Stegostoma tigrinum: one gene and its partner. The protein of the gene in region 2 purifies or fractionates together with the protein of the main gene of each other region. This does not show direct contact. Links are inferred from orthologs where the notes say so. Each region holds a gene or a part of one and is shown on either strand. Other genes may lie near its edges.

Region 1 (16,313 bases), on a different chromosome or scaffold from region 2:
ACTTTTGAAGGCAGGCTTCAAGAAACAGCCTACTGCTTCACTAGATACCAAACTGTCCCTGTTCCTATTTGATTATTGGACCAGCCTACAAGCAACTACAGAGATAGCTCCAGCAGAGTTCCTAATGGGAGAAGATTCCACACCAGGTTGAATCCAATATTCTCAGACCTGAGGGTGGGTGAGAAGGCATCAGGAATCCCGGTGCCAGACACAAGACTCCTGTAAATGAGAAACACACTTTACTTTGGGGATAAAATTTGGCACTGGAACCACGGGAATGGCCCGGCATGAGTAAGAGGAATGGTTGACCTGAGGCCATTTCCAGTGACATATAAAGGTCAGGCAAGTGTGACAGAGTTGAACAAGCACATTGTCCATATGAAAGCTTGCAAATGATGCGGGAGCAAAACTTGTCTGGCTCTTTGATTGCCTTTCTAACAGTTCCAGAACCTGTGGGTTCTCCCCCTCCATCAAGTGTTGAAGATACTTCGGAATCAGAGATAGGCACGGCATATGTCACCGATTACATGCATTTGCCACCTGAAGAGGAGAATGAATTTCTTCCGAGATGCTCCAGGCACAAGACGTGAGACACTGTGAATTACATGCTCCCCATATCAGAGGCAGAGTAGGAGGAACCTGACTTGCTGCTAAAAGGCCCAGGAGGATCTACGAGAAAAAAAGGAACCAACCTATGTCCATAGACTGAGAGGAGGAGGAATTGCAGTGACTTGTAAAAAGGTTAGCCACACTGGCCCTAACGCCCACCTCTTCCTCCATTACATTGATGACGGCATCGGCGCCACCTCGTGTTCCCACGAGGAGCTCAAACTGTTCACCCACTTCACCTTCCACCCCAACCTTAAGTTCACCTGGACCATCTCTGATACCTCTCTCTCTTTCCTGGGCCTCTCTGTTTCCATCTCTGGCAATCACCTGGAAACTGATATCCATTTCGAGCCCACCGACTCCCACAGCTACCTATTGTCTACAGGAATAGTGCCAGAATTGTCTACAGGAATAGTGCCAGATGACTGGAAGGTAGCAAATGTGGTTCCCCTGTTCAAGAAGGGGAGTAGAGACAACCCAGGTAATTATAGACCAGTGAGCCTTACCTCAGTTGTTGGTAAAGTGTTGGAAAAGGTTATAAGGGATAGGATTTATAATCATCTAGAAAAGAATAAATTGATTAGGGATAGTCAGCACAGTTTTGTGAAGGGAAGGTCGTGCCTCACAAACCTTATTGAGTTCTTTGAGAAGGTGACCAAACAGGTAAATGAGAGTAAACTGGTTGATGTGGTGTATATGGATTTCAGCAAGGCATTCGATAAGGTTCCCTACTGTAGGCTATTGTACAAAATGCGGAGGAATGGGATTGTGGGAGATACAGCAGTTTGGATCGGAAATTGGCTTGCTGAAAGAAGACAGAGGGTGGTAGTTGATGGGAAATGTTCATCCCGGAGACCAGTTACTAGTGGTGTACCGCAAGGGTCGGTGTTGGGTCCACTGCTGTTTGTCATTTTTATAAATGACCTGGATGAGGACGTAGAAGGATGGGTTAGTAAATTTGCAGACAACACTAAGGTCGGTGGAGTTGTGGATAGTGACGACGGATGCTGTAGGTTGCAGAGAGACATAGATAAGTTGCAGAGCTGGGCTGAGAGGTGGCAAATGGAGTTTAATGCAGACAAGTGTGAGGTGATGCACTTTGGTAGGAGTAACCAGAAGGCAAAGTCCAGGGCTAATGGTAAGATTCTTAGCAGTGTAGATGAGCAGAGAGATCTCGGTGTTCACATACACAGATCCTTGAAAGTTGCCACCCAGGTTGAGATGGCTGTTAAGGCGGCATACAGTGTTTTAGCTTTTATTAATAGAGGGATCGAGTTCCGGAACCAAGAGGTTATGCTGCAGCTGTACAAAACTCTGGTGCGGCCGCACTTGGAGTATTGTGTACAGTTCTGGTCACCATATTATAAGAAGAATGTGGAAGCTTTGGAAAGGGTGCAGAGGAGATTTACTAAGATGTTGCCTGGTATGGAGGGAAGGTCTTACGAGGAAAGGCTGAGGGACTTGAGGCTGTTTTCATTAGAGCGAAGAAGGTTGAGAGGTGACTTAATTGAAACATATAAAATAATCAGAGGGTTAGAAAGGGTGGATAGGGAGAGCCTTTTTCCTAGGATGGTGACGGCGAGCACGAGGGGGCATAGCTTTAAAATGAGGGGAGAAAGACATAGGACAGATGTCAGAGGTAGTTTCTTTACTCAGAGAGTAGTAAGGGAATGGAACGCTTTGCCTGCAACGGTAGTAGATCCGCCAACTTTAGGTACATTTAAGTCGTCATTGGACAAGCATATGGACGTACATGGAATAGTGTAGGTTAGATGGGCTTGAGATCAGTATGACAGGTCGGCACAACATCGAGGGCCGAAGGGCCTGTACTGTGCTGTAATGTTCTATGTTCTATGTTCTAGAATACACCTCCTCCCACCCAACTTACTGCAAAAAATGCCATCCCACATCCCCAATTACTTTGCCTCCACCACATCTGCTCCTAGGACGAGGCATTCCACTCCTGAACATCTCAGGTGTCCTCATTTTTCAAGGACCACAACTTCTCCCACATCAGTGATCGAGAACTCCCTCGACCGAGTCTCCTGCATTTCCCGCAACTCATCCCTCACATCCCCTCCCCGCAATAACAGCCAAAAAAAATCCCCCTCATCCTCTTGTATCACCCCACCAACCTCCGGATACAACACATCATCCGCCGACACTTCTGCCATCTGCAATGTGTACCCACCACCAAAGACATTTTTCCCACTCCACCCTTATCTGCTTTCTGGGGGTCCACTCTCCCCATGACTCCCTTGTCCGTTGCATGCTCCCCTCCAGCCCCACCACACGCGGCACTTTTCCCTGCAACTGCAGGAAATGCTATATCTGCCCCTACACCTCCTCCCTCACCCCCATCCCAGGCTCCAAGAAGACTTTCCACATCAAACAGATGTTCACCTGCAGATCTGCTAATGTGGTATACGACATCCGCTGTTCCCGGTCTGGTCTTCACTACATCAGGGAAACCAAGCGGAGGCTTGGGGACCGCTTTGCAGAACACCTACGCTCGGTTCGCAATAAACAACTGCATCTCCCAGTCGTGAACCATTTCAACTCCCCCTCCCATTCCACAGGTGACATGTCCATCCTGGGCCTCCTGCAGTGCCACAATGATGCCACCCAAAGATTGCAGAAACAGTGCCTCATATTTCGCTTGGGAACCCCGCAGCCCAATGGCATCAATATGTACTCCACAAGCTTGAAAATCTCCCCTCCCCCTACCACACCCCAAAACCAGCACAGCTTGTCCCTGCCTCCCTAATCTGTTCTTCCTCTCACATATCCCCTCCTCCCACCTCAAGCCACACTCCCATCTACCTACTAGCCTCATCCTGCCCTCTTGACCTGTCTGTCCTCCCTGGACTGACCTGTCCCCCTCCCTACCTCCCCACCTACACTCACCTTTACTGGCTCCATCCCCACCTCTTTGACCTGTCTGTCTCCTCTCCACCTATCTTCTGCTCTATCCATCTTCTATCCATCTCCCGCTATTTATTTCAGAACCCACTTCCCCTCCCCTATTTCTGATGAAGGGTTTAGGCCCAAAACGTCAGCTTTCCTGCTCCTCTGATGCTGCTTGGCCTGCTGTGTTCATCCAGCCTCACATTTTATTACCAATTTAACTTGCTGGTTACAGAGATAACTACCCAATCCCAGAACATAATATGCTCCAAATACAACATCACACTTACCTTCCTCTGCCACTGTCACATACTTATACTCATGCACACACACAACCACACAAATGTGCATGTGCACACCCATTGGTGCATACACAGACACACGCATACACACACACTCATACACGTGCATACACGTACACACATTCACACGCACATGCAAATATATATACTCACATATTCACGCGCAAACACATACTTGTGCACACAGACAGGCGTGCACACATGCACACACATATATGCATGAACACATGCAAGCACAAACATGCACACATGCACGCACACCCACATGGATGTGCACACACACTTGTGCACATACTCACGCGCGCACACATACACACACACACACACACACACAAAAGCACATGTGCAAATGAGCTTTCTCTCACACACACAGTGCAAGCAAGTAGCTCTATACGCGTGTGCACATGCACACTCATGCATGTACATACAGAGGCATACATGCATATGCACATGCACTCACACATACACAAGCGTATACACACATATACACACTCACATGCACACACACATACACACGTATACACACACATATGTATACACACTCATGCACACACGTACACAAGCGTATATATACACACTCACATGCACACACGTACACAAGCGTATATATACACACTCAAATGCACACAAGCGTACACACACATATACACACACTCATGCTCACACACACATGTATGAACAAACATGCGCGCGCGCACACACACACTCACATGCATGTACACACAGACACACACACATGCATGCAAACACGCAGAGAGAAACACACACACACACACACACACACACACACACACACACACACACACACCATCGTCATTGTTGGTCCTTCAGAGATGAGGATGGTTCACTTCCACATTCAGGGTGAGTCTTTAAGTGGCTGTACAGACTGGTGCAGCTTCCGCAGCCTCTGTTACATTTGGGGTAGGTGGTGATCACAGGGAGGGCGGGGGGTGGGATTGGTGTGGCAGTGCGCTTCTTTCGCTTGACTTCTGCTTTTTCCTGACGGCAAGTCTCGACGTGCTCGACACCTTCCCGGATGCACCTCCCCGACTTTGGGTGGTCTTGGGCCAGTGATTCCCAGATGTCTGTGGAAATGCTGCACTTTGCCAGTGAGGCCTCAAGGGTATCCCTGAAGCACTTCCTCTGTCACCTGGGGTTTGCTTACTGTTTCAGAGCTGGGACCAGAGCACCTGCTCGGGGAGTCTTGTGTCGGTTGTGCAGACAACATGCCCAGCCCAATGCAGATGATCAAGGGTGGTCAGTGTCTCGATGTTGGGGATGTTGGCCTGATCGAGGAGGCTGGTGTTGGTGTGTCTTTCTTCCCAGCAGCTCTGCAGGATCTTGCACAGGCAGCATTGATGTACTGCTCCAGTACTTTGAGGTGTCTGCTGTAGACAGTCCATGTCTCAGAGCCACATGGGAGGGTAGGGACCACTACAGCCCTATAGGCCATGAGCTTGGTGTTGGATCTGATGCAGTTGTTTTCAAACACCCTTCTCCTCAGGCACACTGCTGAATGTCCTCATTAATTGCTGCTTTGGCCAAGAGGACACTCCTGAGATATTGGAAGTGGCCGATGTTTTCTAAGATCACCCCATGGATCTTGTTGATTAGGAGGTTTGGTCTCCATTGCCTGGCCAGCTTGTTGGAGGACGTTTGTCTCGTACGTGTTCAGAGTGAGACTCATAGTCTCCTATAACTCTGTAATGGTGCTGACGATGACACACACACACACACACACACACACTCAACCATACAGTCAGGCACACGCTTACGCACATATATGCAATCACACACTTACTCAGACACACACACACACACACACACACAGTCACACAGACAAGATCGTGCTCACACAAATTCCCTGTTCCAGACAAACATTCGCAGATTTTCCTGTTCTCTTGATGGAACTTTGCTTCCCATTCAGTGTGTATGGGATAAAAAAACTCACGTTTGGGCCCTTGGGTTTGGAGTAACCAAACAAAATCACAGAGCCTGAGTGACTGGTTAGAGAGACCAATCAGGGTCACATAGTCTGAGTGACCAAATAGAATGACCAATCACAGACACACTGCCTGAGTGATCCATTAGCGTGACCAATCATAATCTCACAGTTTGAGTGACCAGTTGCTATGGGTTACAGATAAACATCTGCCCAATTTTACTTGGTCATTTCTCTGGCTCCCAGCTGGTCACCAGTTGCTCATGACAGAGTCTCTGGTCCTGGTCAATCTAAGGCACTCAGCTCAAAGGACAACGGCTGTGATTTGAACCCTTGCCCTGGGCTAATAACCCAACAGTTCACTCCCACCAGCCTCACCCAAATCATTTTCCTGCCCCCACTGAACCTTTCCATTCAACCCTCCCCTCACCCAAAAACACTGGCAACTGACTCTTTCAATCCTGTAACATGGTATCACAGGAACACGTCCAGCACAGAGCACACCACGGCCTATCGTGTCAGCACCAGGCTAACATTATTCTTCAATTTCCTGTCTGCCTGGGGAAGGGCCCACTCAGATAGGTGATGATCCGTCCTGAGCTGCACTGTCTCAGTGACAGCTTTCATTACACTGGGGTTGGGCTGGACAGAGTGGAAATCTCCCTGAGCTGGGAAGATGTGAGAGGCCAGTCTCCTGGTTCAAGGACACAGAGGGTCAGTGCTGTCCCCATCCTCTCATCCTGAAAGTGGCAGGACCTGGTTCAGCTGTACTGTCTGCTTTTCAGAAATTTCAAGCTAGCAATAGCCCTTTTATCTGTTTGAGACTTGGCTTTATCGGTTCATATTTCAAAGGCAGTTACCGTCTCAAATGTAACCAAATCCCAAAGGAAATCTAAATCCAGGCAACTGCCTCTCTTCTGTAACATTCTCCTCCATTACAGGAGACAGAGAAGGGAATGGATTGAGAAGTATAAAATTATGAGGGGAACAGAGAGAAAGAGATTCTTCACTTTGGTAGAAGAATCAGTGACGAGTGTGATAGAGATTGAAGGTAAAGGGTGGGGGGCTGTGAGGAAAAGCTGTTTCACCCCGTGGGTGGTAGGAATGTGGAACTCACTGGCTGTAAGGGTGGGAAAGGTAGAAACCCTCATCACTCTGAGGGAGTATTCAGATATATACTTGTAATACCAAGGCAGACAAGCTGTAGTCCACTGAACAAGTAAGGACTGCGGGTGCTGGAAGCTAGAAGCAATAAATATGGAGCTGGAAAAGCACAGCAGATCAGACAGCATCCAAGGAGCAGGGATGTCAATGTTTCAGGCTGAAACCCTTCATCAGAATTGAGAAGGGGAGGGGGAGACCAGAAATTAATAGCGGGAGGATGGGCTGAGGTGAGGGTAAGTGAGATGGAGATAGGTGGATGCAGGTAGGGGATTATTGTGTTGTTCAGTGGGAAGGGTGGAGCAGATAGGTGAGTAGGAAGATGGACAGGTTGGGGGTGGAGAGATTTTGAAGCAGGTGAAGTCAGTATTCAAGCCATTCAGGGAAAAGGGCCCAAGGCGCAATATCAGGAGTTGTTCTTCCAGTTAGTGTTTGGCCTCTCTCTGATAGTGGAGGAGGCCAAGGATGGACATGTCACTAGGGGACTGGGAGGGGGAGTTTTAGCATGTGGTAACTGGGAGGTCGGGCTGGTTGCATGCAGAGGGCAGATGCTTCGCAAACCGGACCCCGAGTAGGTGCCTGGTCTCCTCAATGTAGAGGAGGCCACATCGGGAGCAGCGGACGCAATAGATAAGGTTGGATGAAGTGCAGGTGAATCTCCACCAGATTCCAAGTGCTGGAAATGGGACTAGAAGAGTTAGGTGGTTGCTTTTGACCAGCGCAAACAAGATTGGCCAAAGGGCCTTTTTTGTGCTGTAGATTTCTCTGACCCTATGCATAGGGAAATTATTCCCTCAATCCCTGTGATCAGGATCTCATTGGGACCTCTCCAACTCCCAGTTCAGCAGAAATGTAGACTGTAATTCACTATGATTCACTTAAACTGCAACATTCACTAACACCGTGAAGAATCACACTGGCCTGGAAAGGTAACACTGCTTCTCTCTGTCCCTCTCACTATCTGCCGCGGCTGCCAGACCTCCTGGTTTCAATTCAGTCATCAAGATGTTCTCATAACTCATCTGTAACTGGCCTGAACCAATGTCCAAATGCAACCCCACACCCCAGGGCTGTTCTCAATCTCCCACTTTACAAACTCTCCAGCGCTGTCCCAGGAGGCTATTCAGTTTTGGGGGAGATGCTGAGGCCGGTGTTAGAAATGGGATTTGTGAAATGGTGACTAGGGACAGCAGGAAGCATTGTGTCTGGGAACTGACACTAGGTACAGAGAAAGCCAGCAGCCCGTTCTAAAGCTGATCCGGAGAGACACAAAAAGAATTCTTCCAAATTAAACATGAACGCGGACAGAAGAACAAGCAAGCTTTCTCGGGGAATTGATTGGTTAAGGCGAGCTGTGTCAGAGCCGAGTCTGAACAGGGATCCGGGGGAATCTTATCTCACAAAATAAAAATCTTTTTGAAAAGGAATGCACTCAATTCAAACCAACTAATGGACTCCACATTGAGACTGTGTAGGTTGGGGGGTTGGGGTGTGGAATTGAGAACTTGTCTGATTTAGTTCACTTGCAATCCTAAACCAATGACTTCGGAGGATTTTTGAATGGAGTTTGTAGCCGCTGAGCTCCTGGCGAGAGCAGTTTGGGTTCAGAAACAGTCTGCACTTACCTGCATTTACATAAGTTATTACTGAGAGGATGAGGATTTGTAAAGTTACAGCACAGTCCCAAACCGTTCTTGCTCTCCTCCACCGGCTCCGGTTATCCATATCGTGCACAAGCTGCTGCTGTCACCAGCCCAGTTACGGGGAGGTGGGGTGCAGTTACAATGTCTGGGGCGGAGTGGGGGGGACCAGGAATTCAGGGGCTGGGGTGCACACAGGCGTGATGAGGTGGCGGGGGGGGGGGGGGGGTGGATGATATCTATGAAGCCATGGGGGATTTGGGTTCTCTTCGGTCTCCCAGTCCCAGCTCCTGGCGCCTCTCTGTTGCCTCGGCAAACTGGCCCTTCTATCCCCGAGCTGACAGCAAAACCTGGTCTCTCTCTCACACACACAGTTTCCTGGAACTGAACAATTCTGCAGCAACAAAAAGCTGGAACAAGAAGAGTTTGGTGGTTTGGGATCTCGCCCCCCCCCCACTCACTGCCCACTCAAACTCAAAGGGCTGAGACCGCCCAGAACAGCCTGCACTTTATTGGGCACTTAAGGAGGGAGGGCGCTGGAAACAGACCGAGAACTGAGGCTGCAATTTCCAACTTTGTTGTATTTCCATCAACCAACCGGAGAGGCCGCGTCTGAAGCGGCAAATTTAAGCACTAAACAATACACCATCGAACAAATACAAACCCACAGGATTCCCAACTCACACAGGATGCCAGAACAAACAGGATCCCAACATACTAGATCCCTAAACGCAGGATTCCAACACACAGAGGATCCCAATACACAGAAGATCCCAACAAATTGGATCTTAAAGCAAAGGATTCCAATAACACAAGAACTCCATGCAGAGTCCCACCACATACACACGATCCAAACACATACTGGATCCTAGTACACTGCATCCCAACACACAAGATGCCAAATGTACAATCACACAGGATTCCAAACACTCTAGATCCCAAACACAGGTTCTATACACATAATTTCAGACAGGATGCCAACACACAGAATCCCAGTCACAAGATCAAAAAACACAGGATCTCAAACAGAAGGTCCTGAAAGACAAGATTGCAAAGGATTCCAAACACAAGGTCCCAAAACACCCAAGTTCCCATAGCAGGATGCCAAGTGGATTGTGAAGACACAATTTCACACACACCTTTATTTATTCTGTACCTTTGATCCTTTCTTCCGCTGTCAGTTTGTCTCAATATCTTTCACTCTCTATATCTCTCAGTCTGCCTCTCTTTCTCTCTATCTCTTGCATTCTATCTATCTCTCACTCTAGTCTGCATCTCTCTCTCTCATTATCTATCTCTCTCTGTTTGTATCTGTCTCTGTTTCTAGCAAGTTTTGAGAAGATTTGTAGCTCAGTTTGAGGTTCTGGATGTGAGTTTGCTCGCTGAGCTGGAAGGTTCATTTTCAGACGTTTCGTCACCATTTTTTTATTTGAAAAAATATACTTTATTCATAAGATGTACAAAAAATAAAACATATTTACACACCTACCCAGTCATGCAAGCCACTCCGGGTTACCCAGGGGGTACATACACCAACTAAAGGAAAAAAACAAAGCAAAAAAAAACAAAGCAAAGAAAACACCCCGGCAGTTGTCACCCCGCACAGTCCCCGTTGGCCCCCTGACCAGTTGGGGAAGGCGCCAGCTAGGCCCAGTTACCAGATAGGGCCCTTTTTTCTATTCTGGACGAGGGGTTTCATACCATGGTCTTTCCCCACCACGCCTCGGCAGCGGCTGCCCCAAGCTTTAGCGCGTCCCTCAGCACGTAGTCCTGGACCTTGGAGTGCGCCAGTCTGCAACACTCGGTCGGGGTCAGTTCTTTCAGCTGGCAGACCAGCAAGTTGCGGGCAGACCAAAGAGTGTCTTTCACCGCATTGATGGTCCTCCAGGCGCAGTTGATGTTGGTCTCGGTGTGCGTCCCTGGAAACAGCCCGTAGAGCACGGAGTCCCGCGTCACGGAGCTGCTCGGGACGAACCTCGACAAATACCACTGCATCCCCCTCCAGACCTCTTGCGCATAGGCACACTCCAGAAGGAGGTGATCGACAGTCTCGTCCCCCCCGCAGCCACCTCGAGGGCAGCGTGCGGTGGTGCAGAGATTCCGGGCATGCATAAAGGATCTCACTGGCAGAGCCCCTCTCACCGCCAGCCAAGCAATGTCCTTGTGCTTGTTTGAAAGTTCTGGCGATGAGGCATTCTGCCAAACGACTTTGGCAGTCTGTGTGGGGAACCACACGACGGGATCCACCCTCTCCTTTTCCCGAAGGGTCCCGAGGATACTATGTGCTGACCACTGCCTGACGGCCTTGTGGTCAAAGGTGTTTCCTTTCAAAAATTTCTCCACGAAGGACAGGTGGTACGGAACGGTCCAACTACTCGGAGCGTTCCGTGGCAACGAGGCCAGGCCCATCCTTCGCAACACCGGGGACAGGTAGAACCTCAGTAAGTAGTGACACTTGGTGTTTGCGCACTGAGGATCTACGCACAGCTTGATGCAGCCGCACACAAAGGTAGCCGTCAGGGCGAGGGTGGCGTTAGGTACGCCCTTTCCCCCTATCCCAGGTCTTTGTACATGGTGTCCCTGCGGACCCGGTCCATCCTCGACCCCCAAATGAAGTGGAAGATGGCCCGGGTGACTACAGCGGCGCAGGTCCAGGGAATAGGCCAGGCCTGTGCCACATACAACAGTACCGAAAGCCCCTCGCACCTGACAACCAGGTTCTTACCCGCGATGGAGAGGGACCGGAGCGTCCACCTGCCCAGCTTCTGCTTCAATTTGGTGATACACTCCTCCCAGGTCTTAGTGCACGCCCCAGCTCCACCAAACCAAACACCCAGCGCCTTCAGGTAGTCTGTCCTGACGGTGAAGGGGATGAAGGAGCGGTCGTCCCAGTTCCTGAAGAACATGACCTCGCTCTTACCCCTATTGAGTTTGGCACCCGAGGCCAGTTCAAACTGGCCGCAGATGTCCAATAGTCTACTCACCGACCGACGATCGGTGCAGAAGACGGCGACATCGTCCATGTACAGAGAGGTCTTGACCTGAAGGCCTCCGCTGCTTGGGATAGTCACGCCCTTCAGGCTCACGTCCTTCCTGATGGAGGCGGCGAAGGGCTCCACACAGCACACGAACAAGGCAGGAGAGAGCGGGCAGCCCTGCCTGACTCCAGATCTAACAGGAAAACTGTCTGATTCCCACCCGTTGATCGAGACTACGCTAACGATGTTGGCGTAGAGCAGCCGGATCCAATTGCGGATGCCCTCCCCGAACCCCAATTTGGAGAGGACGTCCCTCATGTAAGCATGAGAGACCCTGTCGAAGGCCTTCTCCTGGTCCAGGCTGACGAGGCAGGTGTCCACCCGCCTGTCCTGTACGTAGGCGATCGTATCCCTGATGAGCACGAGGCTCTCAGCGATCTTCCTGCCCGGCACAGCACAGGTTTGGTCAGGGTGAATCACTGACTCCAGGACAGACCTGACCCGGTTGGCTATGACCTTGGCCAGGATTTTGTAGTCCACGTTTAATAGTGAAATGGGACGCCAATTCTTAATTTCTTCCCTCTCCCCCTTCCTCTTGTAAATGAGGGTGATGATGCCCTTCCTCATGGACTTGCACATTTCCCCTGCCCGAAGCGCACTATCGTACACCTCCAGCAGGTCCTGGCCGACCAGGCCCCACAGAGCGGAATACAGCTCGATCGGTAAGCCGTCGCTTCCGGGAGTCCTATTCCTCTCCAAGGACTTGAGGGCTCTGGTCAGCTCGTCCAGGGATATCGGCCGGTCCAGCCACTCCCTCGTGCCGTCATCTAAGACCTCCGTAATAGATGACAGGAACGACTCGGAGGCCGTGCTGTCCGTGGGCTTCGTGTTGTACAGTCCGCCATAGAAGGATCTGCTGATCCTCAAAATATCGGGCCGAGACGACGTCATCGAGCCGTCGTCCTCCTTCAGCCGGCTAAGCACAGAGCTCTCTTTGTGCACCTTCTGAAAGAAGAAACGCGAGCACGTCTCATCCTGCTCCACGGAGCGGACCCTGGACCGGAAGATTATCTGGGAGGCCTCCGCGGCGAAGAGCGAGGCTGGCTGGCCCCTCACCTCGCGGAGGTCCTCTGTGACATCGACCCCCATCAACTGCAGAAGGAGCAGGTTCTGCACCCTTTTCTGGAGTCGCAACTGCTTTCCCCGCCTCTCTCTTGCCTTCTGAACACCCTTGAGGACAAAGAACCTCTTGATGTTCTCCTTCACTGTCTCCCACCAGTCGCCCGGAGACTCAAAGAGGGGTTTCACGGTTCTCCAACCGGCGTACTCCCTCTTAAGCTCCTCGACGTTCTCTGGGGTCAACAGAGTCGTGTTGAGCTTCCACGTCCCCTTGCCGGCCGGCTGGTCGTCCTGCAAGTGACAGTCGGCCAGCAGGAGGCAGTGGTCAGAGAGGAACACCGGCTCGACGCCGGTGGACCTGACCGAGAGCGCCCGTGACACAAACAGGAAGTCTATCCTTGAGCGGATAGACCCGTCTGGCAGCGACCAGGTGTACCTCCGCTGCGCTCCGTCTGCAGGGGTGCTGAAGACGTCGAGCAGCTTGGCGTCCTTCACCCTGCCCATCAGGAATCTGGACGTGACGTCCAGTTGACTCCCCCCACCCACTGTCCCCACGCCGGATCTTCCATCTGCATCGATGATGCAGTTGAAGTCTCCGCCTAGGATGACCAGCCTGGACGTAGCCAGCAGGGGTGGAAGCCGCTGCAGGACGGCCAACCGCTCACTACGTACCGCTGGGGCATACACGTTGATCAGCCTCAGGGGAGCGTTCCTGTAGGTGATGTCAGTCACTAGGAGGCGCCCCCCCCACCACCTCCTGAACTTGAGAGATGGTGAAGTTGCGCCCCTGCAGCAGAATAGCCAGGCCCGAGGAGCGACAGTCGTTACCCCCTGACCAGATCGAAGGCCCACAGGTCCAGACGCCGGACCATTTCCCATACCTGCCGAGGTGCGGTATCCTGCACTCCTGCAGAAACAGGAGGTCCGCCTCGATGGTGGTCAGGTAGGCCAACGTGGATACACATCTTGCGGTGGACCTGACACTGCGCACATTAATGCTCGCAACTTGTACCCCCGTTGTGGGCAGTGACCGCAGTACCCTCCCCAAGTCCAAGGTCCAGCCCCTCCATCTGTCCCTTCATGCCCATTGCCCGGGCTAACTGCTGGACGCTCTCCGGGCTCAGGAAACCATCTGTGCTGCCTTCCGGGTGGCATCCCCCCGTCAGGGGTGTGGAGGCAGGAGGGTCCGGCTCCGGGTCAGGCTGGGGACGCGTTGTTTCCTCCTCCCCGCCTGGAAGTTCCGGGGGGCCCTCCAGCGCCCCAGCGGCACTTGACTGGGTGTCGGAGGGAGTCTCAGGACGCCTCCCGTCACCTGGAAGCGGGGTGCTGCTTTCCTTCTCCTTCGAGATCTTTAATTTCTGCTTCGGGTGGGCCCTCTCCAAATCCCCCTCGTCAGAGAAGCTCTTATAGCCCCCCTGTAGTTGCCTCTTCCCGCCTGATGGTTGCGGTTCCTGGGCCCGTCGACGCACCTTCCTCCTCGCTTTCCGGACTGTTGTCCACTCCCCCGGTCGCCTGTCGCCGCCTCCATCGACTCCGGGTTGTCGGGGGAGAGCGGAGCCTGCAGGGGTGCTTTGCTGGCCTCGGGCCCATCCTGCGGGGCTGGGCCCTCCTGCACGGCCTGGCCCTCCTGCACATTAGTGGGGTCCTTGCTGGGCCCAGGTGCCTTCCTCTCCTCCGGGGGGGGGCTGGCCCCGCATTGCCCCTGCCGGCGACCTGGGTGTAGGTGGTCCCCCGCTGCGGGCATGCCCTATAGAGGTGGCCTGCTTCCCCGCAAAGGTTGCAGCTTTTCTCTTGTGGGCAATTCTCTGCAAGGTGTCCCTCCTCCCGGCAGTTCCTGCAGCTGGTGGCTTTGCAGTCTGCCGCCACGTGACCTGACCTACCACAGGCATGGCAGACTTTAGGTTGCCCTGCATAGGTCAGGTAGCCCTTGCTCCCGCCGATCGCGAAGCTGGATGGTGGGTGTACGACATTCCCGTCTGCGCCCATCCTCAGCGTCACCTTGACCTGCCTCTTACTCGTCCAGATGCCAAAGGGGTCCATGATGTCAGTTAGGTCCCCTTCCACCTTCACGTACCTTCCGAGGAAGGTCAGGACATCAACTGCAGGCACATGCGGGTTGTACATATGTACAGTCACCATACGGCTCTTCTGCGCTGGCATCACAAACAGCAGGACAGCGGTCAATACAGAGAGGGGGGCCTCACCTCCTTTCTCCTTGAAAACCTCCAGGAAACGCTCGCAAAGCTTGGCACTCCTGAAGGTTACATTGTAAAAACCTCCTCCGGGGAAATCCTGCAGGCAGTAAATGTCCACAGCAGTGAATCCACAACAGTCCAACAGGACCCTCTTCACGAAGAAGGTGCGGTCCACAGGTGCACCTTCATCCACCTTCTTTACGGAAACACGGATGGTGTTCCGGACCCCCTGACCTGGAGCACGAGCACTTGCCGCAGCCATCGTTGCAGGTTGGCTGCTCCCCTGAACCAGCGTTAGGCCGAAGCCAGCATTAAGATCCACTGGTCGCAAGGGTGCACAGCCAACCCGACGTCCTCCTTTCACCTCCAAGACAGCACTCTCCTCCTCTCGGTCCACAAGAGAGCAGGTCTTTATTATGTTCCAGATGTAAGCTGGTTCACTGAGCTTGCCGGTTTGTTCCCAGACGTTTCGTCACCATTCTAGGTAACATCATCAGTGAGCCTCCAACAAAGCGCTGGTGTTATGTCCTGCTTTCTATTTATCTGTTTAGGTTTCCTTGGGTTGGTGGTGTCATTTCCTGTGTTGGTGATGTCATTTCCTGTTCTTTTTCTCAGAGGGTGGTAGATTCGCTCCAAATCAATGTGTTTGTTGATGGAGTTCCAGTTGGAATGCCATGCTCCTAGGAATTCTCGTGCGTGTCTCTGTTTGGCTTGTCCTAGGATGGATGTGTTGTCCCAATCAAAGTGGTGTCCTTCCTCATCTGTATGTAAGGATACGAGTGATAGTGGGTCATGTTGTTTTGTGGCTAGTTGATGTTCATGTATCCTGGTGGCTAGCTTCTCTCTGTTTCTCTCTCTGTTCTTTTTTTTTCTCTAAATCTCACTTTCCCTTCTAACATCAGTCCTTGATGGTTTGGAGCTTAGGGAAGAGAGTGGAGGGTCACTGTCCCTCCCTCTGAATCAAGATGATGGCTGTGGAGCAGAGAATGGAAATACCTTGATCAGGAGAAGCAGGAGGGGATGGGAGGATGGTGTGTGGGGGATTGAATCTGAGGGATAGGGTGGTATTGGCTGGAGTGACCCTGCCCTCACTTTCACAGGCTGTGTCCTTTGAACACTGTGACAATGCCTCAGTCTCCAGAGACTAACAGCTCCCCATCTCTTCTCTCCTGCTCCTTGGGGCCGACTGTCCACCAATCCCATCAGATTCCTCCCACAAATCCTCAAATTTAAACCATTCTGTCCCAGATCCTTCTTATCAACTTGCTTTCTTGACATCTGCAGACAGGAGATCACTGTCTCACTGAGAGGGGATCCAGTCCTGCTGGAGGGAATGAGGGTCAAAATCCACCCTCAAATCCAAACACCGATTGAGGTAATGCTGAGCATTATTTAGATGGACAAAAAATCTGCAGAAAGCTACAGGGCATGGGGATTTGGGAGTTCTTGTGCATGAATCA
Region 2 (15,572 bases):
TTTGAGGGACACCTTATGACCATGAAACAATGTCTGAAAACTGAGCAACATTAAAAGCTCTCTTATTCTGTTACAACAAGTGTTGCATATGTAGCAGCAATGTGAAAAACATTGATAATTGATAAGTTTAATGGCAAGTTTCAAATTACAAATAAACAATAAATCTGAGATGTGCTACAGTTAAACAGATATGTACCTCGTCCTTCACCCAACGTCCAGAATTCATCATCATCAAAATGAGAATCGCCACCAATTCCTGTTGATGGGGCAAAAGCATGTGCTAGCAGCCCATCCTTCCCATCAAATGGGTATCCATCACCGTGCTCTTGAAAAAATTAAGATAACATGCCTGTTTAGATTTCATACACATCACTATCTGATGTTAAAATAATAAGTTACTTTTGATGATCTCAAAATATGCTTCATTACTTTGTTTAGTATTATAGTCTGTAATTAGAACACATTACATCCTCAATGGTGGTTTGTTCCAAAAGCTCGATAGGTAGATCTAATCTTTTCAATTTCCAGTGTTATTGTAATAGAAAATTGCATAGAACAAGGAAGATGCACAAGAAATTACAACGCAAAACATTGAATGCAGCATGGAATGGGAATGTAATATGCAAACAATTGAATTTATTGCAGTATTTGTCTACATTAACTTTAGTGTTTGTTTCCCTTACAATGTTCTATTGTACAAAGTGTTTGGGATATGGTATGCAAGCTTGTGGAAGACATAAAGCTGTGTGAAGGTAGATTCCTAAGGGATACTTAACAGCTTCAAGAAGATTTCCAACTCATTGAAATAGACCCACATTTGGCAAACAATGCTCTACTCAGAAAAATAAGATGCCACGCACATGAGAGACAGTAGGAACTGCAGATGCTGGAGAATCTGAGATAACAAGGTGCAGAGCTGGATGAACACAGCAGGCCAAGCAGCATCACCGGAGCAGGAAGGCTGACGTTTCAGGCCTAGACCCTTCTTGGCCCAAAACGTCAGCCTTCCAGTTCCTCTGATGCTGCTTGGCCTGCTGTGTTCATCCAGCTTTACACCTTGTTATCTCTCCTATGCATATGAGAATCTTTGCTGCAGGAAATGATATTCCAGCCAACGGTAAATGAAAAAGCGAGATATTGTACTCACTTTTGAAAGGTTCATGATCAGTGTTGTGAAACTACAGCTGAAGCAAACAAGGTTCTAGGTTGCAATCATAGGACAATTTGCAGCAAAGCATACAATTTTGCTCTTCTGTAAGACCTTGTTAGAGTCTTAGAAGACAGTGCTCCACTTTGACCTCTTCACATGATGAGAAATGTTGCAGTTTTGGAAAACATGCAAAGGAAGTGACAGATTAATTCCCAGTTTAAATGGGTTGACTAGACTAGATAAGCTTTGCTTTAGAACATTTTAGACACAGAGATGATTTGATCGATGTTTATAAAATAATGTGAGAAATAGTTTGAGTTTCCGTGTGTCATTGTTTTTAATTGGATAGATAGGAAGGCTAGTTACAGTTTGCATAAGTACAAAGCTAGGTTTGATGTTAGTCAGCCCTCCTTTTCCAGAAAAACAGTGAATCAGTGGAACAGTTTGCCAGCTCATACAAACAGTAAGTGTTGGAGAAAGTCAGCAGTTCTGGCAGTATCTGTAGAGAAAGAAACAGAGTTAACATTTCAAGTTCTTTCTGTCTCTTCCTCAGAATTGAAGAGAGAGTGGAAAAGGATGAGTTCTGTGTGTGGAAAAGATGGGCAGTGTAACAGATTGAAAGACCAGGGAAAGGTTAGAGGATAAGGGAGGCTGGACAGTTCAGGTGTAACAGAACAAAAGGCAAAGGGAGTGATAATGAATGCAAAGGAGAGGTCCAAAGCAGATGCTACTAGTAGGTGTTCATAGAGAGAATATAAGTCAGGTCTGCTGAAAGCAAAAATCAAGATAAAAGAGACTAAGTAGGGGTGGAGGGGGCAGGAACAAAATGAAGATAAGAGGAGCTGCGTTTTTACTTAAAATTTCCATCACCCACAGTATTTTGCTTCATATTAGCATGCAATGATTTTCTGTAAGCCTTCATGAAAGACTAGACTTGCTGGCTGGTGTGGGCATTGCTTTGTACAAGATATGGATGCCCTGTAACATCAGTCATGGGCAATATGATCTCCTGTTCTAGTTCTGATGGACTAAAGAAGCAAGAATGGAATTTTCAATGCTTTTTCCTGAATTTGGCTTGGTCTTTCATTTGGATTTCTTGCCTTTTCTAGGAAATTATATCAGTTCACATGGGTACAAAACCTCTATTAAAATCTGCATAACAGATCAACTATGGGGATCAAGCTGGATGCATTTCTGCTGCCCATCATTTTCTTACGTTCATACATGCATTTTCTTTTCTTATAAAAATGACTTGAGATTAAGACTGTACTCAAAAATATTCATGCTTGAAATAGGAACAATAATACAAAATATCTGCATGCAAAAGATTTTGAAAGGTGTTATGATAATTATTCAAGATGAATCATAAAATCTCTACAGTGTGGAAGCAGGCCATTTGATCCAGAGTCCACATTGGCCCTCTGAGGAGTATCCCCAACCAGACCTACCCCCCTAGCCTATCCTTGTAACTCTGCATTTCCCATGGCTAATTCACCTAACCCGCACATCCCCAGAAACTGTGGGCAATTCAGCATGGCCAATCCACCTATTCTACACATTCAGGGCTGTGGGAGGAAACCCATGCAGACGTGGGTAGAATGTGCAAACTCCACACAGACAGACACCTGAGGGTGGAATCAAACCCTGGTCGCTGGTGAAGTGAGGCAGCAGTGCTATCCAATGAGCCATTGCACCACTTTCAAGAATCAACTAGTGTCAATGATTTGGCTGTACAATTGATAATTGCAAATCAAGTTAGCAGTCTTGGCCATGCCTTTGGCAGAAGTGTTTAGCATTGTTTAAGCACTTTGCCTCCCCAAGTCTACCACTATAATTCAACATCGCAACTGAGAGATCTCTAAATAAGTAGCATAGACTGGGATGGGCATTTTCTTATTACCTTATATTGGCCAATACCTTTACCTGCCCCGTATGAAGGAAATTATTCTGAAGAATTGTTTACTCCTGAAGATATAGTACTACTTAGTGTATCAGTGAAAGCCCATAGGAAGGTCAGGCATATTGACTTCCACCTGTGGAATCCAGGCTAGCAGCATTGTTACCTTCCCTGTGCACACTACCACCTTTCTCTCCAAAAACACACACACAGCCGTCCACACAGAATACATCTAAAAAAATGATTAATGTCCTTATCCACATCCTTAATGTGGGGACCAAGGAACATTTGTCTTGACAAAAGAATGAATGTGTCATGTCGGTGACCTTCCAATCAAAGGGCACTGACCTGAAAATTAACTCTCTTTCCCTCTCCATAAATGCTGTCTGACCTGCTGCATATTTCAGCATTTCCCGTTTTTATTTCAGATTTACAGCAACTCCAGAATTTTATTTTTGAACTTGACTGAAGTAGGATCTGGACAGCATTTGCCAATGGCAAGTGGAAACTAAAACTTTCAAATAGATGTGACAAGCTGGTGGTGCAGATGTACCCAGAATAGTGTTTGCACCATACAGTGTAGATCCTCTCCTCCTGATACAGAAAATTGCAATGCTGGTGGATGTTGGCAGTCACAATTCCACTGGTCATACAAGGTTTATGCTCTTAGAAGTCTGGGTCCAAAACATCTGCTTAACACAAAGTGTTTGACAAATACTTGGATTAAGTGTTCTTATATGGAAGCACCACATAAAAGTCCCATTTAGACATCACTGACAAAAGCCATGTTGAATATTTATAATCCAACATCTGTGTTAGGTTTCAAGAAATTTAATTATTACCCCAACGGCCAAAGTTGATCATGATGTCTGCCTCTCCATCGAAGATCCTTGAAAATGACAGTGGTGTGACGTCAGCCCATACCTGGAAGGCCCGAGCAAAAGCATCATCCACTGTCTCAGAGTCCAGATCGTAAGTGTATCCCAAAATCCTGTAAGGAATAAGCAGCAGAAGCTCAGCTTGATATGCCTAATCAGTAATGTAAGGCAGCAATGACAGAAATCCTTCTCATAACTCCCATTAGAATTTACAGTGATACAATGATTTATTTTAAGCAAAAACAAATCCTTTTTGGCACATTGTTGACTGCAAGTCTTTTCTTTCCTTAAGTGGTAACAGGAAATACTTTTCATAAGTTCATTGATTTGTACCTTGCTGTTTCTGTTCTTGGCTACTCCTGCCAGGAGAGCTCATGTTGTGGTCCGTCATGTTTGTCTGTCTTGCACCATCCTCACAAATCTACTGTTCCTTCTCTGTAACTGCTCTGTGACACCCAATCACTGAAATACCCCAGGGTGACCTCTCCAACGGCTGCCCTCCATTTTGCCCTCTAAGGCAATTCCTGCAGCTTTTCACCTTGACCAAATGGCTGAAAGAGTGACATTTTATTTTCTGAATGTCACTCTTTAAGAGTGTCACAGCTCTTGAAACTTCAAGTACCTTTTCATTTGTCTTATGATCTGTCTATCCAATTTTTAGCTTATGTTCTCAGCATTCACATTTCAAAAGGACTCTATTTTCTTCCACAGATCATGATGTGCTGTCCAGCTTCCTTAGGCATATAGGAGAGTTTTGAGAGTTCATTTCTTGTTACAAACAAAAGTTTTCATGTTGAGAATAAAACCTTCATTTTACAAAATTACCTCTGTCTACCTCTGTTGTTACCCTAACTAGGGCACTGCATCTGCCAAATGCAGTTATCATTTGATAAGTACAGATAAGTATCTATTTATTCCAGTGTGACACCATCAACTTCATTCTTCACTCTAGTACATTTGTATTCCATCGGAGTAACATTTTATTTGCCCTCTGGGTGTTCGTACACAATCCACTGGCTAAGCCTCAAAATTTTACTGCATCTATAACATTTTGTAGGGTCTCTTCTGATTCTGCAAGAAGTGGTGTGTCATCAGCATACCACAGTCTGTTATATTCTTGCCCAATTCATCATCCATAGAAGTTAATCTAATCCGCTAATTATTTAACAACTAGGAGCAGAAGTAGGCAATTCATGCCCTGCAGCCTGTTCTGCCATTTAACATGATCACAGCTGATCTTATCTCGGCCTCATTTTTCTGCCCGCTCCCTATGACCCTTTACTAATTAAAAGTCTATCTATCTAATCTTTGAATTTATTCAGTGCACTGGCAATCACTCTACTCCAGGGTAGTGAATTCAGCAGATTCATGACCCTTTCAGAGAAGTATATTTGTTCACTGTGTACAGCGACTAATTTTGGTGATAGTACACAAACTTATCATACTCCTCTTTTCGCTTGAAATGTGTCTGATCACCACTCTTCTAGCTTGAATGCTCATGGTGGCTCAGTGGTTAGCGCTGCTGCTTCACAGCAGCAAGAATCCAGGTTCAATTTCACCCCTGGATGACCAATTGTGTGGAGCTTGCACATTCTCACCGTGTCTCATGGGTTTCCTCTGGGTGCTCCAGTTTCGTCCCATAGTCCAAAAGATGTGCAGGTTAGGTGGATTGCCAAGGTTAAATTGTCCATAGTATCCAGGGATGAGCAGATGAGGTGGATTAGCCATGGGAAATGTAGGGTTATAGGGATAGAGTGTGTCTGAATGGGTTGCTCTTTGGAGGGTCAGTGACCTAAATGGGCTGAATGGCCCGATTCCACACTGTGGGGATTCTATGATTCTATTTGGTCCTAACGGAGGCTCTGGATAAATCTTATATTTCAGCAAAATTTCGAATGAACATTTTTCATAGTCTAAAAAACAGCTGTAAATAGTCTTTGTTACTCAAGATATCTACTGAAAATTGTTCTCGTTCTTATTTTAGGACTAAATTCACATTACGTTTCACCAAGTCCTCCTTTAAATATATTATTATTGCTTTCTATTACAATTTTCATGATGCATTTAATGAAACAACCGATTAAACAATTAATATCTTTCCTTCAAGGAAACAATTTTGAAATAACAGAGTAATACAACAATCAATCAAAAACTATTTTCGTTTCCCTACAGCATATTGAAACAATGAAGTTTTAGACATGCTCGCCAAGCCAGTGGATTTGGTTGCAAATGTTTCATCACCCTGCTTGGTAACATCATCAGTGTGCCTCTGGTTATTTATTTGCCTCAGTTTGCTGGGGTGTTTCGTACCACTTCTGGTTCTGTTTCTCTGGTTTGTACACTGGGTCTAATTCAATGTGTTCGTTAGAATGCCAGGCCTCCAGGAATTCCTTGGTGTGTCCCTGCTTGGTTCGTGTTATTATGGATGTGTTGTCTCAGTCAAAATTGCGTCCCTTGTTGTCTGTGAGTAGCGAGACAAGTGAGAACTGGTGGTGTCTCTTGGCGGCTAGCTGATGTTCATGTATCCTTATTGTCAGTTTTCTTCCAGTTTGATCAGGTGGTGTTTCTCACAATCCTTGCATGGTATTTTATATATTACACTGGTTTTGGGTATAGAATCATTTAGATTTGTCAGCAGCTGTCGCAGGATGGTTGCTGGTTTGTGGGCTGCCCTGATACCCAAGGGTCTGAGTAGTCTTGTTGTCATCTTTGAATAATGGTAGGGTGATTAGTGATTCTGGTCATGTTGTGTCTTCCCATTGTGATCTGTCTCGGAGGTAACAGTGGATTATGCTTTTCGAGAGTACATTCCTTTTGAAGGCTCCATATATGTGCTTCTGTTTCACTTTGCATTGTTCTGGGTTGTTGCAATGTGTTGTGGCTCATTTAAATAGTGTCCTGATGCAGCTCTGTTTATGGGCACTGAGGTGATCACTAGTGTAATTGAGTATTCGGTCTGTATGTGTGGTCTTTCTATACAGTGGCTAGTCTGGAGTTGCCTGGTGTTTTTGCATTCACTGGTGGCACACTGAAGTTGTTACCTAGCAAGGTAACTAAATGTTTGCAACCAAACCTACCGGCTCAGCAAGCATGTCTACAACCTCATCTGAGCTACAAATCTTCTTGAAAACTTTAAATATTGAAACAATCCCAATGAAACCGTCTTACCAGTTACATAAGTGATTAAAAGACACACCGAAGAAAACTCCACATGTTTATACACACCTACCTATAAGTTATTTGCTTATTCTCCCATTTGGGCATCTGTGGGAAGAAGTTGTAATTGGCCACGTCAGGAACTCCACACCGCGGTTTCTTCATCACACTTACTGTCTCACTGTCCAGTTCTCCAGTTTGTGGTAATCCAAAAAATTTCTGCATCTTCTTCAGTGTGTCTGACAGTACCACAAGATCACACCTTTCTTTCGGGCAGCCATAGAATTTATTCAAATATAACTAATATAAAATATAAAGAAATATGTTTGTATAGGTAAAATATTAAAGATTTTGAGACAGACATTAACAAGTTAGTTGAAAATGCTCTGATTCTGTGTTGGTTGAACTTGTGGCAAACTTTGCTGGTGTATTTGAGAAATTCTGAATGGATTCAAAAGTTGAGGGCTGACCACTTTAAATGCATTATAATTCTTATTTACATTGCAGATTTCATTTTGCACTAATATTGTGTTATAAGGACTTGATAAGTCAAACAGACATCCTGATTTTCTTGTGTTAACTTCTTGAAACTTGTAGTGCGCTTGACGTTAACGTTTTCAAGTATATTCATAACTTGATACTCCAAAAGCCAACTTTCATTGGCTAATAGCCTGCAGAAATCTGTCACGTGTTTCTGTAATCCTAGAGGCAGTTGGATTTATGCCATTATTTTTTCAGCACAGACACCGTTAGAATACCCACAAACTTTCGGGATCTTGTATGGATGCTTATTAAATTATGGCAATAAGTTAGCATCCAAAGTACATTGTTAATTTGACACGTATTAAATGTTTTGTAACATATATACGGACACAGTAGGCATATGGAAAGATTACATTTGTTCTACTTGTTTTGTGACTAATTTCCCAAATTTTTTTTAAACTTAGTCCTGCCCTTGTGTTCATTGAAATATAAGATTAATCCTATCACTAAGCTATTGGATAGCTCTTAGATAAACAATGTGAGGTTCCACTTATCTATAATTGTTTTGTTTTGTCTACATGCAAGGTCCCCTGCCTTGCCAAAACGAACAGATGTTATCAAGCCCCGTGGCGTTCTCTCTTCTAGACTTTTAAGAAACTTTGATGCCCTGGAGCCACTGAGGGGGGAAAAAGTAATCGCTTCCTTCGTTTCAACAGCTGTTGTGAAAGCTAAAGAAAACGACCACTTAACATAAAACGCCATTTGCAAGGCAGCCGGGCATTAGAAAGTTAACGTCTCCCCACACTTACAGTGGCTATTTCCTTGTCTGTCTTCGTGCTGTTATCACCTGGAAACTTGATTATGCCAGTCGGTGCCGCTAAAGTCTGCTGGACCCAGATGATCTGGAGCAAGGTTACTTTTAAGACTAAGCGATAAAAGTTGCCGCTTGTTTCCATGGTCATTTTCTTCCAGTGGGAGAGCACCTATTTATCAAAAAGAAATGCCGTTGCTGTGGTGTCTCTGCGATATCCTTCACTGCACAAACATTATGCAGTGTTTCTCTGCTTTGCCAGCACAGCTAGTCTCAGGCAACTATGTGCCGCTCTTAGCTGAGTCCCTGCCGACTGAAATCCTTTGTACTTCCAGATGCGCAGACGCGACCGATCTGCTAGAGCAGAAGGACTGGCGGAAGTTGAAAAAAAATCCACCGAAGGAAATGCATTCTCTGGCGACTGGGGCTGCCCCAAGTTTATATTTGGAAACAAGACTGTTCCGAAAATGAACGAGTTTTGTTTTAAAGGCATGATCGTTGGGTAAATGCACCAAAATTGTCAGAAAGCAACAATGTTCCCATCATATTTCGAAAAAAAAACAGTACACGTGAAACAAACCGCTCAGGTTTTGAGTTCATTTCACAATTCAGACGTTAGAATTGTATCGGTTGCAAAAGGACACAGGCTTTTGACCCCAAAGTACGCCATTGATATTTTTCTTCTCTTGAGGCAATATCTCTTCCTTACAGTAATCGCATTCCATATGTACTTTTGGAGATCCAGTTATGGAGAAAGGCGCTGTATAAATGTATCTTTCAAGCGAAGAATTGCAGAAATAAAGCTGCATGTACTGACCATTCAGTCCACAGATAATGATTAATAAGTAATTCTAGGCACGGGTAATATTGGCCCCTTAATTGTGTTGATACTCAATATAAACATGAAGGGTATATTAAAATCCTGTTAAAACGATTCGCACTTTTAAACCCACCCTTTTTAAGAATCTAGAGTGCAGTGATGAAAAAAATGCCAATTTTTAATTTGAAGGGCGTGTTGTAAACTTGTTGCATGACTGGAACAATCACAAGCCTGGAGGCGCCAGATAGTCTTTGTGTGTTTTTGTGTGCCAGACAAGACATCTTTTTCCATGCTTATGCAGCCAGATGTTAACTGCAATGGATCGCTCGCTGGCCGAATAACTCCAACACAGCCCGTGGGAGGGTCTGGAGGAGGCCGCTCGCTACAACACAGGAACGGGGCTGCAATCTTCACGCATCATTTTCAATTGCTGTTCCTGGAAAGTATACTGCATTTGCCGTGCATTCAAGGCCGTTTGTGGGTTAAACTTCGAGCATTTTGCACAGTTTACCTAGAAGTGACAACACCTATTGGCAGCACAAGGGCTGAGGCAGGTGTAAAGTGCTGAGACTTGGCATTAATGTGGACTGTCGTCCAACTATTTAGGTTGGTTCTTTGTACATTGACAGGAATCTTTAAAGAGAGTCGCACGTACAACCCCACTCTGTTCCAACTCATTGCTTAATCTTTACATGTTCAAGTAACGACAACCATACAATCCTGGATAACACAGTATGGTGCAGGTGGAACGCAGCGGGCCAAGCAGCATCAGAGGAGCAGCAAAGATGATGTTTTGGGTCAGCACCCTTCTTCAGAAATGTTTCAGAAAAGCTTCTGAAGAAGGATCCCAACCTGAAACGTCGGCTTTCCTGCTCCTCTGATGTTGCCTTAACTGCTGTGTTCCAACAGCTCCACATTGTGTTATCTCATACAATACTGGAATTTTTTTTCTTTATTCATTCATGGGATGAGGGCATTGCTGGCTGGGTAGCATTTATTGCCCATCCATATTTGCCCAGAGGACAGTTAAGAGTCAACCATGTTGCCTGGAGTTACATGTTGGCCAGACAAATATTCAAGTATTAATTGGGATAGTCATCGTGTAAAGGGTTTATAGGGGTCAGTGTGTTCGGTGTATTCTGCTCTTCAATTATATTCAACGTATTCAGGAGAGCTTTTAATATCTAGAAGGTCCAACAGGGATGATGCAGTACTGGACGTCATTCTGGGGAATGAAGATGTTTAATGTGTCAATAGGGGAGCATTTTAGTGTTAGTGAACCACAATGTATAATATCATGAGTTTGTTATGGGAAAGGAACATGTTGGCCTGCAAACAGAGATATGGATTGGGGAAGACAGATTTTATTAAATTAAGGCAGAACCTGGCCACAGTAGACTGTGAACAACCCCTTCTTGGTAAATCCACAGGATGGGAGGTGGGGTAGGGGGATGCTCAAAAAGGAACTGGGGAGAGTGCAAGCACAACATATTCCCGTTATGATGAAATGTAGGTGTAATAAGCCCATGAAACCCTTCGATAAGAAGGAAAAGAGAGGTTTTTGACAGATACAAATGGAGGCCTTAGTACAGTATAGAAAATGATTAGGGGAAATTAAATAATTATGAGAGCAAAGAACAAAGTACAGGTGGAGAAGATGAAGGAGAATCCCAAGATATTGTACAGCATATCAAGTGGAATATGATAATCAGGGGAAGAGTAGGACCCATTAGGGACCAAAGGGACAATAAGGGCATGGGATTTGGCAGACACTGGTAGAGTATTAAAAGACTACTTCACATCTGTTTTCACTCAGGGGAAGGAGAATGTAGATACAGAATTCAGGAAGAGGCACTGTGAGGTGCCGGGGGCCACAACAGCAGCAGAATTGTACTTCAGCACAATCTGCAACCTCATGGCTCACATACTCCCCTCCATTCAACCATTACCATCAAGTCAGGGAATCAACCGTAGTTCAGTAGAGAGTGCAGGAGGGCATGCCAAGACCAGCACCAGGCATACCTGAAGATGATTTGCCAACCTTGTGAAGTCACCAAACAGGACTATTTGCATGTTTAGGAGATAGCAAGAACTGCAGATGCTGGAGTCAGAGACAACACTGTGTGGATCTGGAGGAACATAGCAGCGTCAGAGGAATAAGAAAGTTGACGGTTCAGGTTCAGATATTTATGAAGAAAGTTCCCGACCTGAAATGTCAACATTCCTGTTCCTCTGATACTGCCTGGCCTGTTGTGTTCCTCCACCTCCACTCTATGTTGTACGTGCATGTCAAATGGCATAAGCAGCAGGTGACAGACAGAACTGAGCAATTCTACAACCAGTAGATCAGATCTAAGCTCTGCAGTCCTGCCACATCCAGTCGTGAATGGTGGTAGACAATTGAACAACTCACTGGAGGAGGAAGCTCCGCAAATATCCCCATCCTCAATGCTGGAAAAACCCAGCACATCTATGCAAAAGATAAGGCTGAAACATTTGCGGCAATCTTCAGCCAGAAGTGTTGACTGGATAATCCAAGTCATCCTCTTCCAGTAGTCCCCAGCACTACACCTACCAATCTTCAGCCAATTCGATTCATTCCAATGTGATATCACGAAACGATTGGAGACAATTGATACTGTAGAGGCTACAGGCCCTGACAACATCCAGCAATAGTACTGAAGGCTTGCGTTCCCAAATTTGCTGCTCCCCTAGCCAAGCTGTTCCAGTACAACTGCTCTCTGATGAAGGGTCTAGGCCGGAAATGTCAGCTTTTGTGCTCCTGAGATGCTGCTTGACCTGCTGTGTTCATCCAGCTCCACTCTTTGTTATCCAGTACAGCTGTAATATTGGCATTCACCTGACAATGTGGAAATTTTCTCATGTACATCCTGTACATAAAAAGCAAAACAAATCCAACCTGGCCAATTACCATCCCATCAGCCTACTGTTGATCATCAATATACTGATGGAAAGTGTCAACAACAGTACTATCAAGCAGCATCTGCTCAGCAATAACCTGCTCAGTGATGCCCAGTTCGGGTTCCACCAGGGCCACTCAGGTCCTGACCTCATTACAGCTTTGGTTCAAACGTAGACAAAAGAGCTGATTCCAGAGATGAGGTGAGAATAACAGCCCTTGACATCTAGGCTACATTGGGCTGAGTGTGGCATCAAGGACCCCAAGCAAAACTGGAATCAGTGGGTATCTGGGGAAAACTCTCCAGTGGTTGGAGTTGTACTTGGAAAAAAGGAAGTTGATCATGGTTGTTGGAGGTCAGTTATCCCAGCTCTAGGACATCTCTGCGGGAGTCCGTCACAGTAATATCCTGGCCCAGCCATCTTCAGCTGCTTCACCAATGATCTTCACTCCATGATAAGGTAAGAAGTGAGGATGTTCACCAATGATCGCACAATGTTCAGCACCATTGTGCCTCCTCAGTTACTGAGCTAGTCTGTGTTCAAAGGCAACAAAATCTGGACAATGTCCAGACTTGGGCTGACAAGTAACAAATGACATTCGTGCTACACAAACGCCAGGCTATGAGCAACAAGATGATCATAACCAGGATAATGGTGGTGGAACTAAGAACAAAAGAATGCAACAGCACAGGAACAGGCCCTTCAGCCCTCCAAGCCTGTGCTGACACATTTTGCCTTTCCATACTAAAACTGTCTTCACTTACAGGATCAGTATCCCTCTATTCCCCTCCTAGTCATGTATTTATCCAGGTGCTCCTTGAATGTTGCTCTTGTGTCTGCTTCCACCACCTCCTCTGGCAGCACGGTCTAGGCACTCACCACCCTTTGTGTGAAAAATGTGCCTCGCACATCCCTCTTAAACATCCCCCCCACACCTTGAACCAGTATCCCCTAGATTCCTGGGAAGAAACCTCATACTTTCCACTGCATCCATTGCCATTCACATTCTTATCAATCTCTATCAACGTTCACAATCTTATTAATTGCTACTTTTGCGGAGTAGGCAACGTCTGCCCTCCTGTCCCCAGGCACTCCTGTTTTTCCATTCCTTTTTCGTCTACTTTTCTCAGCTTCTTTGTAGCTTTTGCTTAAATTTATCTGATAAAGAGAGCCCTTCAGCAGGAAGGTGGCAGCATGGCTATAGAGTTGGCTGGCCTGTGAAGCCTGGAGTGGGACTTTAGTGGTGGCATGGAATGGGCTGGTGAAGCCTAAAGTGGGACTCTGGCAGCATCATGGCATGGGCTGGTGGAGCCCGGTGTGGGACTGTAGCAACGGAGAAGGAAAAGTTGGATTCTCTTTAAGTTACCTTTCTTTATTTTGATTTTATTTTGAGAATGGTGCCAATGCATGGCCTTGGAATAAACTTTTCACTGTATTTTGTATTGAATACATGTGACAATAAATGATTTAATTCAATTCAATTTAATCACCAATAAGAGACAATCTAACCACTGACCCTTGACATTCAGTGGTGTTACCATCCCTGAATCCCCCACTATCAACACCCGAGGGATCATCATTGACCAGAAATTCATCTGGACTCACTGCAAAAACACAGTGTCTACAAGAGCAGGTCAGATGCTAGGAATACTGTGGTGAGTAACTTACCTCATGAATCATCAAAGCCTGTCTATCATCTACAAGGCACAAGTCAGGAGTGTGATGGAATACTCCTCACTTGCCTGAATGAATGCAGCTCCAACAACACTTAAGAAGCTTGACATCCAGGACAAAGCAGCCCATTTGATTGGCACGGCATCCACAAGTATCCACTCCCTCCACCAGTGACACTTAGTAGCAGCAGTGTGTACTATCTGTAAATGCACTGCACAAATTCACCAAAGACCCTCAGACAGCACCTTCCATACCCACGAACACTTCCATCTAGAAAGACAAGGACACCAGATACATGGCAACAACATCATCTTCAAGTTCTCCTCCAGGCCATTGACCGCATTGACTTGGAAATATATCTTCACGGTCGCTGAATCAAAATCCGGGAATTCCCTCCCTAATGGTATTGTGAGTCAACCTACAGCAGGTGGACTGCAATGGTTCAAGATGGCAGCTCGCCACCACCTTCTCAAGGGCAACTAGGGATGGGCTAGCAATGCTGGCCAGCTGGCGATGCCGACATCTTTCAGATGAATTTAAAACAAACTATGAGGTTCTTGAGCAGATTGACATACGGAGTAAGGAGGAATTGAAGGTTTAGGCAGGATTAAAAGTGGAAAAGTGGACTGTTTCCACACTGTAGAAATTCTATGATTCTTAACTGAAGAGGAATCCTCCAAATTCTCTGTCTTTAATAGTTTCTTTTTGAGGTTTTGAACATAGGGGAATTGTCCATTTGAATTGTCAATTTCCTGAACAATTCTCACAGAATCTTTTGCATGCTGGATCCCTCAGGGCCCAGACATGAGTTTGCATGTATTTACAACTCCTGTCTGTACTGTTCCAGTCACTATCTGACCATCAGAATAAATAGGCCTTTATGTGTTTTACAGACATTGCTATTTTTAAGCAAATAATGGGCTCAAATTTTGTTGCCTAAATAATGGTGAAATTAATACACATACACCATGCTTAATGTATAAAGTGTGCAAGACCTGTAGATAAGGAAGACAATGCTATGAATTGAAATGCCCACTCCCGAGAGAGGAACCACAGCTTGATTTGAATCTCCTTGCGGGTTTCACAAAACTGCTGTGTTTGCATATTGATTACCAAATGAAGTCTAGAAATTTAGGAGTGGGACCTAACAGTCAAAACATTTTTTTTTAAACATTGAGACTTAGCTAAGAAAGTGAACAACCTAAACTGAGGAGTTAGTCCTGTCAGTACAGAATTGTTGTTAGAGATTATTGACATTGTAGGTTTAATTTTCTTTGTTATGCTTTTTAAAAAATCTCTTAATCAGTCTCTTTTTCCCTCTCTTTATGGCTCTTTCTATATCTGACATGACAATACTTAATCCTGTTTATTTCTTGATCATGAGGTTGCCCTTGATGTGGTGTCTAATGGTGTGGTGGTAATGTTCCTATCTCAGGAGAAGTTCTGCGTTCAAGCTTCACCTGTTGTAGACTTAATCATAATATGTTTGGAAATGGTGATTAAATATAACATTTTAAAGCCTCAGTGGGAAATGAAACATGAATTGTCCCCCTCATCCTTCAATGAACTAGATGCCCCTCTTTTCCATTAACTTATGGGCTAAAATTATTTCACAGTGGAGCATGAGGGTGAAGCAACATTTCATCAGATCCAGCAATATCGAGACAATATGTTTCATATATAGTGAAAGCTGTGGGGAATCCACTTACTTTAGACATTTTCTAAATATACCAGTGTTTGATCCTTCAAAGTAAAGGAAACGTTTGTGTGTGCTACTGCTG

Evidence for each region.
Region 1: the proteins of mmp2 (region 2) and col5a1 purify together in Homo sapiens (co-immunoprecipitation; 3 studies listed by BioGRID and IntAct, counting the BioPlex papers as one, with this or other methods). This does not show direct contact. The link is inferred for Stegostoma tigrinum from reciprocal best matches to the Homo sapiens genes MMP2 and COL5A1.

What each region holds. Positions count from the first base shown.
Region 1 is NC_081382.1:44,673,087-44,689,399, forward strand, and holds the start of col5a1 (collagen alpha-1(V) chain), read right to left. Parts: upstream 8,771-16,313; 5' UTR 8,647-8,770; coding exon 8,547-8,646; intron 1-8,546. UniProt on the Homo sapiens protein: Type V collagen is a member of group I collagen (fibrillar forming collagen). It is a minor connective tissue component of nearly ubiquitous distribution. Type V collagen binds to DNA, heparan sulfate, thrombospondin, heparin, and insulin.
Region 2 is NC_081369.1:21,838,895-21,854,466, forward strand, and holds the start of mmp2 (72 kDa type IV collagenase), read right to left. Parts: upstream 8,737-15,572; 5' UTR 8,527-8,736; coding exon 8,374-8,526; intron 7,382-8,373; coding exon 7,155-7,381; intron 4,039-7,154; coding exon 3,890-4,038; intron 326-3,889; coding exon 197-325; intron 1-196.